Linked DNA regions of Callithrix jacchus. The protein of the gene in region 3 interacts with the protein of the main gene of each other region in a pairwise test. Links are inferred from orthologs where the notes say so. Each region holds a gene or a part of one and is shown on either strand. Other genes may lie near its edges.

Evidence for each region.
Region 1: the proteins of EDC3 (region 3) and EFHC2 interact in binary tests that used the Homo sapiens proteins (3 or more experiments, as listed by UniProt). The link is inferred for Callithrix jacchus from reciprocal best matches to the Homo sapiens genes EDC3 and EFHC2.
Region 2: the proteins of EDC3 (region 3) and ANXA10 interact in binary tests that used the Homo sapiens proteins (3 or more experiments, as listed by UniProt). The link is inferred for Callithrix jacchus from reciprocal best matches to the Homo sapiens genes EDC3 and ANXA10.
Region 4: the proteins of EDC3 (region 3) and DCP1A interact in binary tests that used the Homo sapiens proteins (3 or more experiments, as listed by UniProt). The two-hybrid records come from large-scale screens. The link is inferred for Callithrix jacchus from reciprocal best matches to the Homo sapiens genes EDC3 and DCP1A.

The regions. Positions count from the first base shown.
Region 1 is NC_133524.1:45,133,059-45,137,457, forward strand, and holds the end of EFHC2 (EF-hand domain-containing family member C2), read right to left. Parts: intron 1,451-4,399; coding exon 1,349-1,450; 3' UTR 935-1,348; downstream 1-934. UniProt on the Homo sapiens protein: Microtubule inner protein (MIP) part of the dynein-decorated doublet microtubules (DMTs) in cilia axoneme, which is required for motile cilia beating.
Region 2 is NC_133504.1:23,298,445-23,304,106, forward strand, and holds the start of ANXA10 (annexin A10), read right to left. Parts: upstream 3,405-5,662; 5' UTR 3,245-3,404; coding exon 3,227-3,244; intron 1-3,226.
Region 3 is NC_133509.1:21,560,714-21,566,338, forward strand, and holds the start of EDC3 (enhancer of mRNA-decapping protein 3), read left to right. Parts: upstream 1-2,175; 5' UTR 2,176-2,462; intron 2,463-4,868; exon of another isoform or gene 4,869-5,001; intron 5,002-5,625. UniProt on the Homo sapiens protein: Binds single-stranded RNA. Involved in the process of mRNA degradation and in the positive regulation of mRNA decapping. May play a role in spermiogenesis and oogenesis.
Region 4 is NC_133516.1:35,839,099-35,844,101, forward strand, and holds part of DCP1A (mRNA-decapping enzyme 1A), read right to left. Parts: intron 1,147-5,003; coding exon 391-1,146; intron 1-390. UniProt on the Homo sapiens protein: Necessary for the degradation of mRNAs, both in normal mRNA turnover and in nonsense-mediated mRNA decay. Removes the 7-methyl guanine cap structure from mRNA molecules, yielding a 5'-phosphorylated mRNA fragment and 7m-GDP.

The DNA.
Region 1 (4,399 bases), on a different chromosome or scaffold from region 3:
AGGTTTTATGGTAGATAGTTTTAGTATATAAATTGAGGATACTAGTTTAAAGTCCTGAAAGGGTGGGGGTGGGGGGAAGCATCTATTCTAACAATAGCACATGTGGAATTATCGTAGGTTTCTATATAGAAATAGTTTATCGATTAACTTCAATTTTTAAAACATGAAAGGACCACTGTTGTCAAGAGCATATTGGTACATTTGAGTGCCAAGAAGCCAGCAAGACACTACTGCAAATATGGAGTGAAAGAATAATGAGTCCGAAGGGTCCCTTGAGATGTCATCAGCTCCTCTTCTTCTCAAAGTAGTCACTGAAAGGTAAATGGTGCAGGTCCTTCTTGAGAGGCCTCCATTGTCTCCGAGAACACCAGGGAAATGGATTGATGATACATAGCACCCAACACTGAACAACAGATAGACTGAGATAGACTTCTACACTGAATTCCCAGAAGTACATGGCTATGGGTTTTAATCAAATGTACAGTATATGACAAGAGTTCCATTGAAGAAAAATAAAAATAGAACTAGAAAAATGCAGTGGGGGAAATGTTGTAGTTTCTGAATATGTAAACCTCTAGGGTGGGGTGGGTGGGATGTGTGTATAAAACAAACCAAAAAAAAAAAAAAATCTCAAAATCTTCAGCATTCACATTCCTAAATATTTTAGACATAATAAATTTTGGCCATACTATAATTATATACACATGCATATATTCCTAAGCTAAGAAGATGACTTTAGTTAAAAAAAGGGTATTAAAAATATAAATACTGCATATGTTCCCATTTGTTTCCCAAGTATGTGTGTGTGTCGAGGGGAGGTTTTTTCTTTCCATAGCTTTACTAAGTTCAAAAGATAAACATATTTACTCTAGAAAGGTTTAAGAACTATTTTGATGAGGTGAGTTGCCAGAAAACTTAATTATATAAGTAATAAACATGTCAAAAAGATTTCAGAAATGTTTAATAGAATCACAACTTATTTCTGTGATATAATTTCATTTTATATTGTCATGTATAACCATCAAAATTCACTTTCCATTCATATAGTCATGAATCAAATTATGTTTGATGAGAAACTATCAGAAGATTTTTGGTATTAATAAATCATACATATAATAAAAATACTCAACATGTTTCAAAATGGCATTTTAAATAGTACTAGTACATCAGCAATATAATATGGTGTCCTGAAAATCTAACATGACAAAATAAGATTCATTGTGGTTTACGGATTCCCATTCAATATAAACCTTGTTTCTTTTTTGTTTTTAATGAAATTATATCTACTAAAGTAAATGTGGCAAAATTAGAGAAGTAAATCAAAAAGAATTGACCAAAACTGGCATGGTTATTCCTCCTCTAAGCCAAACGTATCCTTCAAAAAGGTTAAGTAGTCAATGTTTTTTGCAGGAATAGGTGATGACATCCCAAGCCAAACATCCTCACATCTCTAGAAAAAAAAACAAAAATGGATACGATTAGAGCCACATTTCCAAGTACAGTTTTGCAAATTCAACACCAAACAGTTTATATTCAAAGTGAAAATTTGTACCATCTACTTTAGGTTCATAAGGACTTTGTGGTAGACTGGATACTTGTTCTTGATTCTTCATTGCCTGCCTGTATAAGAATTATGCACCCACACTCTTTGTCATGTGACTCTAGGACCTCCCGTGGAGTAAGAAGAGTGTATTTTCCTGTTCCTTTGATATGGGGTGGGCCACATGACTAGCTTTGACCTATGTACTGTAAGCAGACATATCATGAACAGAGGCTCCAGCGTGCTGGCATCATTTGGCTTGGCCTTCCGTGCCTCTGCCATCACCATAAGAAGAACATGGCCTGGGACGCTGCTGTTCTTAGAATGACCAAGGTAGATCAGACCAGGCTGGACTTGTAGACTAAGAGCCAAGCTCAGCTGAATCCACCCATGCTTGACTGACCTACATGCCCACAGACAAGAAAAGAAATGTGTCTTGTGAACCACTGAAATTTAAGGAGTTGTTATTCGGCATTGTTACAGTGATAGCTCCTCCCATACTTTCTTTTTTTTCTTTTTTTCTTTTTTTTTTTTTTTTAGACAGAGTCTCACTCTGTCACCAGGCACCAGGCTGGAGTGCAGTGGTGCAACCTTGGCTCACTGCAACCTCCGCCTCCTGGGTTCAAGTGATTCTCGTGCCTCAGCCTCCCGAGTAGCTGGAATTACAGTCACACGGCACCATGCCTGGCTAAGTTTTGTATTTTTAGGAGAGATGGGTTTCCCCATACAGGCCAGACTGGTCTGGTCTTGAACTCCTGGCTTCCAGTTATCCATCCACCTCAGTCTCCCAAAGTGCTGGGATTACAGGCATGAACTGCCATCTAAAGAACCCAATTTTTAAAATACAAACTATTAGCTATATGTTGCTTGGTTACTGTTTCTTCAGGAAACATTGAAAAGAACGCTGGATCACTCACAGTATGATCCTGAAGATAAGCCACTTTATGTGTGCATACACATGCACACACAGATGCACATTTTCTATAATATGTAATACATATGTGTGTATATATACACACAAACTCTTTGCGTATGCTGCAATAGTTAATTAATATCAACAGGAGGCAAAGTCCGTACATACAGTTGCTTATATTTCTACTGTCAAGATTGAAATATGACTGTCAAGATTAATTGTTGTATATATGTATATTAATATTAGTATCCAGAATCACAAGGTGTCAGACACATAGGTAAAGGCTCAATTATTTGATGTGATAGAATTTTGGAAGCCAGCTGATTAAGTGGTGTTTCAGTTGGACCTTATGGGACACAAAGCAGTTCAGCAGAGGGTTAAGGGTAGTGAAGGATGTTCCAGGCATAGGGAAAAGCATAAGCAAAGGCCTAGAGATCTAAAAACTATTTTAAAGAAAGGGTGAGTAGAGCAGTGTGGTTTGTGGCACATGGTACAAAGTGGCAAGAGAGATGGTTAGAAGGAGAAGCTGGGGCCGAACTTCTGACCTTCTGTGCTAGTTTATACTTGAGGCTGTGGTTAGGGGAAGTCACTGATAGGTCTTGGCCAGGGAAATGACAGCAATCTGATTAGAAACCGATGAGCTAACTTGCTGGATGTACAGAGAATGAAATGCAGTAAGAAAATCAATCTGGAGGTGAGTGTAATAATACCACGAAAAGATGACGGTGCCATAACCAGGGCAGCTGAAGCAGGCATGGAGAACAGGAGCTACCTCTGAGAGAAGCTGCTGCAGGAGAACGTGAAATAGCTAGAAGGGGATCAGTTTGAAATGGTGACAAAAGAAAGGTGTAGTGCTATAGGTTGAATTGTGTCCCCGCCCCAAAAGAGGTATGTGAAGTCCTCACCCCTTGTGCCTCAGCATGTGACCTTGTTTGGAAATAGGGTTTTAGCAGATGTAATTAGGTAAATTAAGATGAGGAAGATGAGGTCATTCTGGAGTAGGGTGAGCCTCTAATCCAATATGACTGGCCTCCCTATAAAAAGTCAGGTGAAGACAGAGACACACCGGGGGAACACCAGGTGACCAAAGAGGCAGAGATTAGAGTTCTGCAGCTGCAAACCAAGGAACACCAAAGACTGCCAGCAAAGCATCGGAGTCTAGGAAGAGGCAGGGAAGGATTCCCACACAGGTTTGAGAGGCAGCATGGCCCTGCTGACACCTAGATTTTGGACTGCTAGCCTCCAGAACTGCAGAAGAATAAATTTCTACTGTTTTAAGCAACTCAGTTTGTGGTATTTCATGTGGGCATCGCTAGGAAACGAGTATAGGTAAGGATGGTTCTAAGAATTCTAAATTTAGTAACAGTTGACAGTGTCTGTTATTAGTTTTCTGGGGCTGCCATAACAAAGTACCACGAAGTAAGTGGCTTAAAGCAACAGAAACTTATTCTTTCACAGTTCAAGAGGCCAGGGGTCCAAAATCAAGGTGTTGGCAGCCTTGGCTCTTTCTGGAGGCTCTAAGTGGGAATTTATTGCATGCCTCTTTCTTAGCTTCTAGTGATTGCTGGCAGTTGTTTGTTGGCTTGTAGGCACACCACTCCAGCTTCTGCCTCCACCTTCACATGGTGCTCTCTGTATATCTCTATGTCTTCACGGGGCTTTCTTATAAAGTCGCCAGTCACAGCATTTAGGGTCCACTCTGATCCAGTATAACTTCATCTTAATTAATTATATCTGCAAAGACTATTTAGAAATAAAGTTACATTCTGAGGTTTGAGGTAGACATGACTTTTGGAGGGGACAATATTCAACCTAGTATAATATCATAAGGAAAGCAGAAAGAGTTTAAAAACATTTTTTAGTAGGAAAACAAGGCTCAGAGGGAAATTCTAACTTCAGTTGTGGGCATTTTTTCTTTCAGTTGTCCAGGGGACATCAAGGTGAAG
Region 2 (5,662 bases), on a different chromosome or scaffold from region 3:
ATGAATTTTTTTTTTTTGCATGATAGAGTCTACTTACAAATAAACATTATGCTGAGTTTAAGAGAAAATATATTTCCCTGTGTGAAACTTTTGATGTTTCTCAAATTTCTTCATAAAATTTGGGACTGTTGTATGTACACATGTATACATATATGCTTATATATGTGTTACACACACACACACACACACACTTGTATTAGTAATGAATACACACTTAACCTCTGCTCTAGAAGCAGTGCATTGGGCTGCTGAAGGCCAGGGCTTTTGAATCAGAGAGTTGGATTCAAGTTTTGGCACTGGTACTAAATAATACTGTGAATAACAGCTCATCTTTTTTGGGATACTTCTATGCTCTAGATACTCTTCTTCGTGCTTTTCCTGCCAAACAATTCTCAAGATACCCTTACAAGATAGCTGCTGGTATCACACTCACTTAACAGGCAGAAAAATTGAGATGCAGAAAGATTCAGCAACCTGTGCTCAGTCACGTGGATCCTATGCAGAAAGGCTAGCTTTCAGTGTGTGTTTAGTCACTATCCCACAGTCATATTTGCCCAGCCCCTAGATTAAAAGCAGTCTATTATTGTTATAATAGTATTTTTTAAAAATTAACAACATGTATGCATACCTCTTCAAGGAAAAAGCTATTACATTTAATTTTTCCAATCCAATTCTTATTAGTTCTACAGAAGCTTCAGTAAAAGTTGAAGCCATAACCAGCATGATTCATAACTTTTGTTGAATCAAAGTGTGTAAAGTTCAGATAATGTAGTCTTGTGATAGTGAAAAGCAATCTAAAGTATGAATAACCTTTAAATAATATTTGCTCAGTAAGTCATATTGCAGATAAACAATCAAAGTCAGATTTCTTGGATGGAAGTTTTTGTCCTGGGAATTACTTTCTACAGGGAAAGTCAGTTTTGAAAATAATTCTTACCTTATCAACTGCCTCTCTGCCCATGAGATGGGTTCTCAGTCTGCAATCACTCTCATGCAATATAGCCTGGATTCTTTTTCAATTTATGGAGTGCCTTTCCTTCACTACATGTAATCTGCTGCTAGAAACCAATGCGTTTATTTTATGTTAGTTAGGCTAAAATGCTGTATGTCTCATTGTCCATGGTAGACATTGTGTAACTTGCTGTTGTCTGACTTTGGCGCTCTTGAGCTATTCTGGGAAAATGCATGAGTCAAAGCATCTTTGTAAAGAGACTGCTGCTATGATTTTCTCGTTTAATTAGGGTCACAAAGAATAATCATACCTAGGCATTTTTATCTTGTTGTGGTAGAAATGATTTTGGAGTTACAAAGGATCCTATGTTTCCCTCACCTCCTGAGTTTTTTACTCCTGGAAAAAGTCTTTAATTTCTCTGAACCAGTATTTTCATCTGGAAAAAGGGGTGGCAAACACAAAAATAATATATATAAAACAACTGGGTAGAAGAGTGCCTCCAAAAGAACTTCAACCTTTGCATATTAAATGGCATTTTTATAAGACAATTTGCTGTGAAGATTAAATGAGGTATGGATGATGTATATAGACATTCAGGCAATTATTATAAAATTTCTCTATGTTTGTGTAATACATAATGCTATTTTAGGTAAGAAATATATCAATATGTATCTTGCTTTTTATACTGCTATGATCAACATTTTCTGTCAGTGAATATGGTAGAAATAGGAAAAGGTGTCAAAAGAATAGAAAAGCAAACAGGGTTAAAGTTAACTCTAATCCTATGAGAGGTCAAAAGGAAGGATATCTTCTAAGAAATGAATCTACAGTAAATAAAATGCAACTGTATGAAAAAGAGGGATCAGTTGATGACAAAACAGGACAAAATCAGGAACCATTTTTACAAGAAAATTCTATTCTAAAAGGAAGATGTACTCTAAAGAGACATTATAGATTAATAAAAAGAATTTGCGTTCTACGGACATAGAGATACCTGGGTTTAAATCCTGGCTTGGGCAAGTACCTGTATAGTACAATTTCCTCCATACTAAGAGAACTACTATAATATAATAATATCTTCCTACAATATGATTTATATCTTACTAATATATCAAAACTCAGGCTTGCAATTGTCTCTTAATAAAATCTTGCTTTATTAATGTTTCTTTTGGAAAACTGACATATAAATAGTAAAATTAGACCACACAATGCACTGAATATAATAGTAATCATTTCCAAGTAATTATACTCAAATGAACTGAAAGAGAAAACAAAAGGCATTTTCGTATTTAACCATTTACCATGCTGGCCTAATTACTTGGTAACTTTTATTTCTTTATAGTGAAATATAACTACCTCTCAATGAATACAATGATAATGGCAACTTTCAACTGCAAAATGAGAACTTGAAATCTTAAACTAACAGCGATGGAAAAATAGCCACACTATAATTCCTATTTCAGTATTTATGTGAAGAAACAAAATATTTAAGTAGAATTTTCTTGCAATGATGACTTTGTATGAGTAAACAATATTGTTTGTTTGCCAAAGTTTAACCTAATAATTATGTTATGATTGTTTTTGCATAAAAGTTCCCAGAAAGCTTTTTTTATAGGATAGATTTTTAAAGAATCATCAACACACATGTACTTGTGTATAATTTCCAAGACCATAAGGAATAGATACATTCTTGTATAAAATTTCAAGACCGTGTGAAATGGAGACCTTTACATATAATATATATTCAGATAACTTAATGTTTATGTTGGCTCTTTAAAAGTTAGTGAACTATCAGAGCAGTTGCAATGAAATGATTCAGACAAGGACAAAACAAAAAATAAAAGACTAAGTCTTGTTATACATTGCTTCAATTCAACATAAAATTATTCAAAAACAAGCTGTCTTCTAAAGAAAGCATGGATTTAAAATAAAATTAATAGTTAAAATTATTTTAATGTTTTATAGATAGAAATCAATATTGAGGTTAAAAAATCATGATAGCTTCAGTTAAAATTTGGAATCAAATTACTTGTGAAAGTAGGGACAACTGACTGGCCTCTGTGGGATAATACATTGTTTCAAAATTAGCATGGATTTAGGAGTTAATAATATTAACTTTGTATAATAGCTTTATTGAAGACCCACTAATTAAAAATTTATGAAAAACAAATTAAAACAATATTTTCCTTTAAAAAGTCAAGAAACACATATAAAATTTTACTACTGAATTCTTAAAAGACTGAAAAGCTTTACAGAAATAACCATTATACTCACATAGTCTCCACAAAACATTTTGACGATTATGATTAGCTTCAGGGATCGAAATATTTGATCAATCGCATAAACTTGTTTCACTGTGGATCCAGAAAGAATGGAGGTTCACTGCTAAATCAAATGTAAATACGTTCACTGTTCACCTCAGATTCAGATGAGAAAATGGAAGAGCAAATCTGGATACTGCATGAATTGAGATACGTATTTATACTTAGTTATCAATCATAGGTGAGTATGCAGAGTTACTGCACAAAATAAATAGAACCATTAACCTAATCTCTGGTTGCATGTTGATTTAAGACACATAAAGTAGCCAACCAATGAAAGAAATGTAATATTTTGAAAAAGCTGATGACTTATGGAAAGCTAAGTTGATTACCCACAAAGTTAATGATTTATTTCTGATTAATTGTTATTAACATCCAAACTCTTTCAAGTGCTCCAACCCTAGTTTCATATCTTAAATTGCTAGGCTCTATATGTATCTACACCATTTAAAAAATATTTCAACTACTGTTGATCTGCTCTTATATTAAAAAAATAATGCATTTAGGAGCCAGGCACAGTGACTCACGCCTAACATCCCAGCACTTTGGTTGCTTAGACAGGCCGATCACTTGAGGTCGGGAGTTTGATACCAGCCCTGGCAAAATGGCAAAACCCTGTCTCTACTAAAAATACAAAAATGAAAAATATATTTTAAATGTATTTAGGGAAGAATTCATTATCCTCCAATAAAAGCCTTTGGAGAAACATATTCACCATCATTCTTGTACTTAATTTTTATATATTGTACATGTAATTTTAATGTTTAACTATTGCATTTTAAGGAAACAAATTTAGGAAAAACCTGTCAAGTTTAATATAGTATTGGAAACTATCTAGATACATTTATATTTTATTCCAAAAATAACAAAATGAATCTGTATTATGTTATTTTACTGTTACTGGCTATTTAGTGAAAAATACAGTGTTCATTTATAAAAATTTTAAAAAGCTTTGAAAAAGAATTAAGAGAAAATAATTCTTTATTGAAAGAACAGAATACTACAAGTGTCAACTGATCAGTATCCATAGCTCTAGAAGTACCCCAAATAATTCTGATGTTAAAATATGAGTAAAAGCCATTAAGCAAGATGTCTTAATGTAATGCACCCAAGTGTGTGTGTGTATATATATACACGTATATATAGCAGCTACATACATATACATATGTTATTCAGCATTCAATTTATATTATCTGATTAGCTTACCAGTATACCTGGTACTATGAGAGATATATGGAAGCATGATATTTGGCTCAAAAACATTAACATTTAGTAAGTTCTACTATATATGTGTATGTGTCTGTGTATGAATCAAGGTCTTGTGTTTTTGCTGTGTATATTTAGACAGCATATAGCAATTATAAAATAATAGATATACTTATTAAAACTCTAGGATTCAGAATTAGAAACAAAAGAAGAGTTTTCAACTATAATTTTTTATGATTATTTTAGTAAGCTTTCATTATAGACTAAATATATGAATCTGAACAAAAGTTGTCAAAATATTTGAGACCAAAATATTTTCCCTAAGATTATTAGATAATTCAGAGAAAATAGATTTGATAATATTCCCTAATTTTCTCCCAGATAATAATTACTTAGCATATAATATTATTCATCATTATTTTGTGATTTAGCTTTTAACAACATGTCTTCAGTGGAAACTATGACATCTGGTATTTGGTTTATAATATTCAATGGAAGAAAGGATCATAAGACACCTTTTGAAACCAGTGTGTCAAAATCTCAAAAGCTATTGAGAAGATGGTAGTTAATTAGTTGAAATGCCTCTATTTTATCTGTTTATGAAAATTTCCTTGATGAAAATTTAAAAATGTTTAGTTGTAACTTATTTACTTATACTTAAATATCATTTATCTGTAATCTGTATAGTAACAATGTTATCAATAATTAAGCTTTTTCTCTATTCTAAACACTGTTTCAGGTCCGTATAGTGGTATAAATTAATTCCTATGATAACTGTATGAGCTTGGTTCTATTATTGCCCATATTTTATCCATAGCATAGATAGATAGTAGAGAGGAATTAGAGTTACTCTGTAATCAAGAAAGTTGCCAAAAATCCCACTCTTGAAGTGGGAGAGCAGAATTTGAACCTAGGCAGTCCAATGACAGATCTGTAACCTCAATCTCAATGTTACATGTTCTATTAATAAATAAAACAAAGCAACTTAAAAAGAAAATGAAAAGGCATGTTTCTTGATTCAGAAGGATTTACAGTTTAGTAGATAGTGAAAATGAACAGCATACAAGATGATAAAGGTAAATGTAATTAACAAGTTGCAAAAAATATTGTGGACAGTTCCTCAAGAGGCAAGTTGCTTAGGCAACAAGTAAATGAAGAATGCTTCACAGATGGATTAGCATTT
Region 3 (5,625 bases):
TTGTAGACCTAAATGTAAAACGCAACACTATAAAACTCTTGGAAGATAACATAGGAGAAAACTTACCTAACTGATCTTGGACATGGCAATAACTTTTTAGAGCAATACCAACAGCATAATCTGTGAAAAATATAATTGATAAGCTGGACTTCATTAAAATTTAAAACTTCTGCTCTCCAAAAGAAGAATGAAAAGACAAGCCACAGACTAGGAGAAAATATTATAAAAAATACATCTGATAAAGGAGTGTTAGCCACAACATACCCGGAACTCTTAAATCTCAGCAAGAAAATAACACAATGTAAAAATGGGCAAGATACCTGAACAAACACTTCATCAAAGAAGGTAAACACATGGCAAGTAAGTACATGAAAAGATGGTCAACATCATATGTCATTAGGGAATTGCAGATTAAAACAATAAGATACTACTTAAACTCCCAACCTCAAGTGATCTGCCTGCCTTGGCCTCCAAAGTGCTTGGATTACAGGCGTGAGCCACACGCCTGGCCCAAAACAATAAGATACTACTACACAGGGAAAATCCAAAATACTGACACCACAAAAATGCTGACAAGGATGTGGAGCAACAGAAACCATCATTCAATGCTGATGGGAATGCAATATGCTCCCGTGACTTTGAAAGACAGTTTGGTAGTTTCTTTTCTCACAAAACTAAATATACCATCCAATCCAGCAGTTGTACTCCTTGGCATTTACCCAGATAAATTGAAAACTCAGGTCTACACAAAAATCTGCACATGCTGTATAGTGGCTTGATTCATAATTGCCCAAACTTGGAAGCCGTCAAGATGTCTTTTCTTGGCTGAACAGATAAACTCTGGCATCTCCAGACAATGGAATATTATTCAACACAAAAAATAACCTTAAAAGCATGTTACTAAGTGAAAGAAGCTGACGTGAAAAGGCTGCATACTGTATGATTCCAAGTATATGGGATTCTGAAAAAGGCAAAAACTATGGAGACAGTAAAAGGAGCAGTGGCTGCCACTGGTTAGGGGACTGAGAAGGATGAATAGGTAGAGGACAGAGGACTTTCAGGTCAGTGAAACTATTGTGTATGACACCATAATGGTGGATACATGTCATTACACATTTGTCAAAACCCACAGAATGTGCAACACTGAGGGTAAACTCTAATGTAAACTGTGGACTCTGGGTGATAATGATGTGTCAATGTAGGGTCATCAATTGTTACCAAATGTACTACTGTAGCGCAAGATGTCCATAAGGGGACAGGTTGTGCATGTATGTGCCTGTGTGTACAGGGGATATATGAGAACTCTGTACTTTCTGTTCAATTTTGCCCTGAACCAAAAACTGCTCTAGTTTCATTAATAACAGTAATTTTAAAAAGCCAGGGCCCCTTCTGACCTAGGGAATCTCTGGTGATGGAGGGGGAGGGGTGTAGTCCCCTAGAAAGTTGAAATTTTTCAAAGTTACTCAACTGATTTTGTAGAGCTAGGTTTGGAACTGCTACCCTTTTCTATGCTGCCCGACCAAGTAGTGGTTCCTGAACCAGGTGTCAGGCTTCAAAGTTGTGCAAAATTTCTCATTACACTGTCTGGGCCCTAAATGTATGCTTTCCCCTCACCCCATAAATCAAGACTCTAAAACGCCAAGGATAGGAGAGCAGCACTTTCCCGTGTACTGAGTATGCAGGCAAGGGAGAGCAGTCAAGCACAGACTGGCTGATACCTAACCCCCAAATGGGCTGAAGCAGATACACTTTGAAGATCGACCACGGCGGAAATCTTTTTTTTTAATCCGTCAGGGGTGTCCCACTTATTGGGTCCCACAGCTGCGGTTTAGCAAGGAGTGGGTCTCACGTCACCAGGCCTCCCTCAAAGTCCTCCGCTCTAGCTTTGCGATTGGCGTTGGGGGAACAGGAGGGGAGGTGGGTGCTTTCATCGAGACTGCTGGGGGGGCCCGGACATCGAGGCCGGGGAGTCGTGGGTAGAGCCCCGATTCCAGCCAAGACGCCATAGGACATAAGTGAGCGTGGAGCGCAAAACGGCTACCCAAGCACAATTCTGGAAGACCGAAGGGCCGTTCTTCCACCTCTTAAATTTCCCGGGAGCCACGCCCCTCAACGGCCCGCTTTGGATTCCAAGGAGTCGCGCCGGAAGTGACCTCACGGAGGTGGCGAGGAGACGTGGGGGAGCTTCCGGCGGCGGCGTCGGTGGTTACCGCCGAACAGTGAGGGTAGACGTGGTGAGAGCCCCTCTTTGGGTCCCCTGGTGTTCTGTGGTCGACTTGGTGGTGGTGTGCGGAGGAGCTCGAGGCCCGTCGGCTCGGAGGTGGGAACCACGGGAGGCAGCTGGTTTGTGGACGCTCGTGGGAGGGGGCTTCCGGGGTTGCCAGCCGGAGTTGCTTTAGACTTCGGAGTTCCAGGCCTTGTAGACCTTTATTGAGGCGGGCACGAGATGGTGGCTTCATCGGGTACGCTGGGGTCTAGGTACTACGGGTGGCCGCAGGAGTTTGGTTTGAGGTGGGAGGCTGAGGACTGCAGGATTCTAAATAGTAAGGGGATTGTGAGAGGAGTGAGGCATTAGCGGCTTGGGCCCTTAGTCCAGGCTTCTTGGTGGCTGCTGCAGTTCATTGGCTCAGTCACTCATTGCTTGGTGCCTCAGTTTCCCATTGCATAATGAGATACGGTGGCAGAGAAGAACGCTAGTGCCACATCCATGACTGATAGTTTGAGGACGGAGGTGAACTGGAGTGTAGAAAAAGAGGGTGCCCGAGAAATTTATACTTACCAGGGCACATCTGAATCCCAGAAGTTATCCCTGGATTCATTTCTGCCTTTGGTGCCAGTCTGTGGTTCTTACCAGTACTCTTTGTGTGATATTGATTGTATTTATCAATACTTGACTTGTTGAGTGGTTAAAGTGTTTTTGGTTTGTGGGAGGCATAGCCCTTGTAGGCTTGGTCAGTTGATTTTTAATTAATCTTCCAATAGCAGTTGCTTCGGTTAGCTTTGCAATTGGGAGATTAATTGATAATTAACTGACCAAGCCAACAATCTTCTCCTGTGGTTTCAGATGAGGAACTCACGACCCAGAATGGTTTTTCTTCTCTTCCCTAGCCACAGATCAAACTGATTTCAGTCTGCTGTCTTAAATACAGGTCTTTACCCCACCAAAACAGAAATGACTGTCTCCAGGCAGTTTAGTATTTCAACTGGACACGCAGATGGTTCCTAATCTTTTTTTTTTTTAATGAATGACGGATTAGGTGTACTGAGCACAAAATTCTGTTAGTTTATTTCTCTGTATGATGTAAAAATGGTTGTAAAAACATGACTTTTTGTTTACTACGGATTTCTTGGTAGAGCCTCCTTGGCGTAGGGCTGTGGGGCTAGAAAAGTGTCAGAAATTTTTGACCTGTGACCCACAGTTAGATACATTTTTCATCATGACTTATTGTGCCCCTACACAGTGTGTACACACACACATCCTGATTAAAAGTTTACTTACTTTTTCTACAGAAGATACACTCTAAAAAAACTTTGGTTGCAACTCACTAAGTTGAGTCTGACCCTTAATAGGTCATGACGTATAGTTTAAAACATACCAACTCCCAGCACTTTGGGAGGCTGAGGCGGTTGGATCACCTGAGGTCAGGAGTTCGAGACCAGCTTGGCCAACATGGTGAAACCCCATCTCTACTAAAAATACAGAAATTAGCTGGGTGTGGTGGTGGACGCCTGTAATCCCAGCTACTTGGGAGGCTGAGGCAGGAGAATCACTTGAACCCGGGAGGCTGTGGTTGCAGTGAGCCAAGATTGTGCCGTTGCACTCTATCCTGGGTGACAAGAGTGAAACTCCATCTTGGAAAAAAAGTAGAAAAGAAAAATATTACACTAGGGCCGAGTGCAGTGGTGGGAGGATTGCTTAAGGCCAGCCTGGGCAACACAGTGAAACCCTGTCTCTAAGAAAAACAACATTGGAAAGTGTTTAAAATCATTGCCATTCGTGAGATTCTGTAATTAATGCAATATGGAAGAAGTGTCATTTTTCTTTTCTTATCCAGAGAAGGGCTTACTAGAGTTCTCCTAAATTCAGCAGAACAACAGGACAGGACATCCAAATTCTATCTCAAAGAAGCGTAGTGACCATAATAGTCACTGCGCTCCTGATAGTGTGTCAGAATTTTTAGCAAGGCATTTATTAAGTCTTATGATAATCGAGTGGGCGAGATGGAGGAATTTGCCAAATTGTGGTAGGACTAGATGGAGTCATGAGTTTTAGCATCTATATCTAGAGAGGTTTGATGTGTGGACATTACTTACGGCTGGAATTCTGGTGATCTAAACTGGAGTTTCATCACTTTCTTTATACACTTTATGTATTTGAAACCTTAGCTAGAAAGTTTGCTTATTGGATTTGGTGCCTTTATGAAGTAAAGCAAGGATCATTTGGTTGATGATTGCCAGAATGCTAAAACTTCTCACTATATTTGCTCAGTGTTTAATGAAATGGAAGAAGCATGTATAAATGTGAGAAATTGCACTTGGGTCCAAAAAAGTCAACTATAACCTATTGGGGGAGGGTGGAGATGTGACCTCACAGGAGTTCTTGTAATAAAAAGATTTGATATCTCAATCACCAGTCAGTGGTGTGGCCAAGAAAGCTGTGAGAAGTACTGATGTGACCTGCGTTAGTATATTGTATTAGGAGAATGCAAAATCTAGAATTAGAAAGGTTGCATCACTGGTAGGCTTGTACCTGAATATTAGGTCTGCATCTAGGTGTGCTAAGAGTAAATTTATGGGCAGAAATCAAGTCTGAAGATATGATGGTATTGCTTTGGCATGAATGGTTATTTTTCTCATTGTCATTTCAGGCTTACAGGTATACGCTGGGTCATTGGTCTTAAAACATTTCTGTTAGAGAGTTTCTGGAAGACTGGGGAGTCTGTTAGATCTTATATCCTTTTCAGTTGGCACCTGAAACTTTGCATCATAGATTTAAATAGTGTAAGTATTTTATTTATTTGTTTATTTATTGAGATGGAGTTTCGCTTTTCTTGCCCAGGCTGGAGTGCAGTGGCTTAATCTTGGCTCACTGCAACCTGCACCTTCCAGGTTCAAACGATTCTCCTGCCGCAGCCTCCCTAGTAGTTGGGATTACAGGTGCCCACCACCACGCCTGGCTAACTTTTTTTGCATTGTTAATAGAGATGGGTTTCACCATGTTGGCAGGCTGGTCTTGAACTTTTGACCTCAGGTGATCCACCCACCTCAGCCTCCCAGAGTGCTGGGATTATAGGCGTGAGCCACTGCACCCAGCCAGTATTTTATTTTAAATAGTTTAGGATGTAATTTCTAACAAGTAAATATTGACTTCTTAAATATAAAATTATCTAGGCCAGGCGCATTGGCTCATGCCTGTAATTCCAACACTTTGGGAGACTGAAGCGGGCCTATCACCTGAGGTGGGGAGTTAAGACCAGCTTGGCCTGAACATGGAAAAACCCTGTCTCTACTTAAAAAAAAAAAATAGCCGGCTGTGGCAGCGCATGCCTGTAATCCCAGCTACTGGGGAGGTGAGGCAGAAGAATTGCCCAAACCCAGGAGGCAGAGGTTACAGTGAGCCAAGAT
Region 4 (5,003 bases), on a different chromosome or scaffold from region 3:
ATTTGAACTCATACCTCCAAGTCTAGGATGCTCTTATGGGACCTCTAGGTTACTCGGCACAAGGTAGGCACTCCAGGAAAGTACAGTGGGAGCTGGGAAGGGAGCTAAGTTTTGGGATAATTTGGTCGTGAGTCAAATGAGGACTCCTGGAACTGTTGCACAAAAGCAAAACAAATAACCCCAGCTAAAATGCATATCCAGATACGAAAATACGTTAATTGGTTGTTCATGATAGGGCTTCTTATCTCACCTGTCTCCTAGCCACTGACATACTTTAAAGAGACAACTCTTTAAAACTGTCAGTGTTATGACAGTTCAAACAAGGTCTTTTTAGTTTCATCCCATCCAATTAGTTACCCACCCTACCCACCGCCACCTTCCTGCCATTACCTGAAAGGGAGCAAGCACCATGTTGCTCAGAGAGGCTGGGGCTGCTGCTCTCACTGCTGCTGCCTTAGAGGGAGGCTCTATGAAGCTCTCAGGTGTGGCCAACTGGCCAGTTACTGGAGAAAAGCTTGCTACCATTGCACCTTTCCCAAGTGGTTGTGTCTGTATTTGGTCATGCTGTGGGGTCAACCTGAGTTTCTGGAGAAGATCAACGCTTGGGAGGGATGTGCCAGCTGTGTTTGTCACATTCAATGGGGCCCTGAAGGGGCTCTGGTTGGCAATCAGACTGGCATGGCTTAGCTCAGGGACTGGCTGGTTCAGGAGTGGAGACCTCTGTCTAGGCGTGGTCTTCACTGCCTGCATCATGGTGCTGTTTCGAGGTAAGCTGGGGGGAACCTGTGTAGTAGGAGCTTCAGCTGGCAGAGTGGGACTGAGAACCGGGCTCAAAGGGATTGTGTAGCTTGGGGCATGCTTTTCATTGGACAGTGTGATGGAGGCTGGAGTGATTAGCACTGGGGTGGTGATTTCAGGCTGGACTGAGTGGTGGGCAGAAGGGACACCCAGGGTTTCTGATTGAGGGGTTCCTCCTGACTGCTCAAAGGGAAACGGTAGAAAGGAACTGGGATCTTTCTGGGAGGAATCTCCTGGCAACCTCTCCACTTCTTCTGAATCCAGACCCACAATTGCTGGCTGTTCCTTTGGCAAAGAGGTTCCAAATAACTCTTCTACTGTCAGATGCTTGTGTCCAGATAGAGCAGACTGAAAAACAAATCAAACCACCCAGTGAAAAGAGGTCTCTCCATATATCAGCATAACCAAACTTCTTTTCCAGAAACCAAAAGATTTTGCAGAATCAAGGATGGAGTATAAAAATAAGGAATGGTAAAAAAAAAAAAATGAAGATGTACTTAGGATTAAGGCCCAGGTTCATCTAGTGTTCCCAGAGTGGCGGATGGAAATTTGCATCAGTAATATAATTCAAATTTTTAAGGTCTCTGGGTAGCAGCATCATAATTCACCATTCCTTTTCTTGGCAAAGCTAATTGTGCCCAATTGCTTCATGTCAGCAACACACGAAGGGAAATGACACTAGAGGAGACACAGGGACCAAATGCTGATGAGGCGAGTCTATGTTTACTTTCACTGTTCTTGATGAAAAGCTAGGCACTGGACCTCAGAGACTGGGTCCCAAATATCAGAAAATAAATCTAACCATTTAATAGTGGGCCATTTCCCCCTCCTTATTCCCTAGTCACAGAATTCTTAAGAAAAAGCAAAGCATTTAAGCCTGACAATTTAAAGTTTATATTTATTTTAGTAAGTTGGTTTACTGACACCATTAAAACCATTCAAAGAAAAAATATTCATGCTTTCCTGTACCTTTAAGCAGTACTGCCATAGTCAGTAACCTTTATTTCCTGAGAACTAATGGGGTGTCAGGTCCTGCTCTAACCCAGGCCCACAGGATGCAGCAAGGGAGTAACAACAGTTCTCACAAAGCTTACATTTTAGTGGGAGACATACCAAAGCACTTTGAAAACACAGGCGGCCTCAAATTTTTATTCCTAAAATGAGTGAATTATTTAGTTGTTTAGATCTGTTTATAGTGGAAAAATTAACTCACTGAAACACAGGATTTTCAAGGCCTCAGAAAGTCTGGAAGGCCGCAAATTCCACCACAAATTAGTATAATATTGATAGGACTATGGTATAATCACATTTACAGGAAAACAAACCCAGTGTTGTCTAGGCAAATGTTTGTCTCATCCATTTGATAAAAATTCTTGAATTTATCAGGTGCCAGGCATTGTGCTATGACTGTGATGTGAAAAAAGAAGCCAGGATAACTGGTGATAAGACCCCCGCAGGGCAGAGCTGCAGGGCCCAGCAGGACCGAAGGCGCTGGGAAAAAGGCTGAGCGGGGAGGGATAAGGCCAGCTGGCTGGGAACACAGTCACTGAGACAGCTACACGTCCTTCAGCACAGCTGGGTCAGAGGCTGGGTAGGAGGGTGACAGGGAAAGAGAGAAGCAGTGGGCAGACTGCAGAGTGTCCAAGACACTTTAGAGGATCTGGACTTTATCCATAGGGCAATGGGGACATGATCAGAGAATGAGCCATCAAGCTTTACATTTTAGGATGTGCACCTGGTCGGCCACATAAAGGACAAATTGGAGGGGCGAGACTGAGGAGAGTCTAAGATACTGGCAGAGAAGAGGATGAGAACTAGAGTTGGAATAAAAGGAGTTGGTGGCTGGCCAGGTAAGAGCATGGAGCTGAGAGGACACCTTGCTATCTGGGTATTGGGTGGTGGTGCCACTGCGTGGGCAGGCAGCCCTGGAAAAGCCCCTAGGTTGAGGGAGAAGGGGACGCTCAAGTTAGTTGTGAACATGTCTGGAGGTCTCTGTGGGACATCTAGAACATGGAGGTACTGACTCAGAACACAAAATGGTAATGTTATTTTGTGTTCTTAAAACACAAAAATGGTAATACAAGTCAAGGGAGCAAAGGCATCCCCCTAGGACGCTACAGTGACAGAGCTGAGATGTCCTATTAAATGCCCAGATTCAGGGCCTAGAGCCCACTGCTGCTGCCTGGCTCTGCTCCTTTCCAGCTGTGTGGACTGAGGAGTGCTGTCCACTCTGAGTCTCAGGCCTCTATAAAGTAGGGAGGGCTAGTGGGAGGCTGAAATGTATGGGAGCCAGCACATAGGAAGTGCGTGTTTAATGTCAGCACTCCTAACAACAACATGGAAAGCAAGTTTGCCAAGGCAGGGGCTCTCTTTCTCATGTATTCCCCAATCCTTATCTTTCTTGCTCCTGGACTTGCCTACCTGAGCAATGGCACCGCCACCCAGGACCACAGATCTAATCAGTACATAGCAGACACTCCACAGTGCTCTCTTCCAAAGTTCTTTCGGGGAGTAGGGGGAGATTAGCATAAGGAGAGATGGAGCTTAAGGGGCAGGTGCAAGAGATCTTGTGTCAGGAGGAGATCATGTCAGACAACAAGAAAAAAGAGGGCCAGCAGCAATGAGCATACAGGCAAGTCTGCATGTGAAGGACAAAAGTTAAGGGTGCCATTCTGTCTTCTCTCCTTGGTATGAGGACAGCATCACCTGCTAGGTAAGAGGGACAAGGCAGGTCTGAAAAAACTCAGTCAGTAAAAAGTAACTCTTGTGGAGGAAGAGGCAAGAATCTCCCACAGAGGTTGTAAAAAGTTGTAGCTTCATATCAAACCATTTTGCCTTAGAAAATATTAAATAAAGAGATTCCACTAATGTTAGAATCTCACTTCAAATATGAGGCAGTATGAATATCTGTGGATACAAAAAAATGCTAAAGATCTTATATGGTTCAATTTCTTCATATTTTTACTTCTGAAAAAAAACTATAGAGTTTAGGGTCTGAAATCAAAAATACCTCAGCTGTTAATTGGGAAAACTACATAACCTTTCTTTTTCTTTGTTTTTCTGAGACAGGGTCTCACTCTGTCAGTAAGACTGGAGTGTAGTAGTGTGATCAGAGCTCACTGCAGCCTGGAACTCCCGGACTCAAGCAATCCTTTCACGTAGCTGGGACCACAGGTGCATGCCACTGTACTTGGTTTATTTTTAAATTTTTTTGTAGTGAGCCATTGAGTCCAGCATAATCTTTCTAATCTAGTTCCTTATCTGAAAACTGTGGACACTGTGGCAATGATCTTAGAACACTGTTGTGGAAATTAAATTCTCTGTATCATGTCTGGTGCCCAAAAAGCATTCAATAAATTGAAGTTGGCTTAAACTATAATCACATAAACACCATGTGATCTTTTTGTTTGTTTGTTTTTTTTGAGATGGAGTCTTGCCCTATCGCCCAGGCTGAAATGCAGTGGCACGATCTCAGCTCACTGCAACCTCTGCCTCCCAGGTTCAAGTGATTCTCATGCCTTAGCCTCTCAAGTAGCTGGGATTACAGGTGTGCGCCATTATGGTCAGCTAATTTTTATATTTTTAGTAGAGACGGGGTTTCACCATATTGCCCAGGCTGGTCTCAAACTTCTGACCTCAGGTAATCTGCACATTTTGGCCTCCCAACATACTGGTATTACAGGAGTGAGCCACCGCATCTGGCCCACTATGTGGTCTTAATAGCAAGCATGGAGTACCAAACAAAAGTTCATCAAATGCTTCTGGAATATCATATCCCCATAATGCAAGACAACAACAATATACCTGGTAAGATAACCAAGGCTAGGCTACTATAAAGCTCCTAGTCACTCCCGATGCAAAGAATTATGAAGGACACAGCTGTTTGTTTAAAAATCCTTGGCAACATTCAAACCCACGCAATGAAAGTCAAAATAGACAACAAATTCTGTAATACTCAGCACAATGATGTGCTGTACAGGTCCACAGCCTAGGAGCCATGGGCTATGCCATCGAGCCTAGGTGTTAGTAGGCAATGTCATCTAGGTTTGTGAAAGTACAAGTACACCCTGTAATGTTTGGAGAATGAAATTCCGTAACAACACATTTCTCAGAATGTATTCCCATTGTTAAGTAACATACAACTGTACCTAACTGGTTGAATTTGTCATAGGAGCCTGGGTGAGCAGAACATTCCTCGTCACACA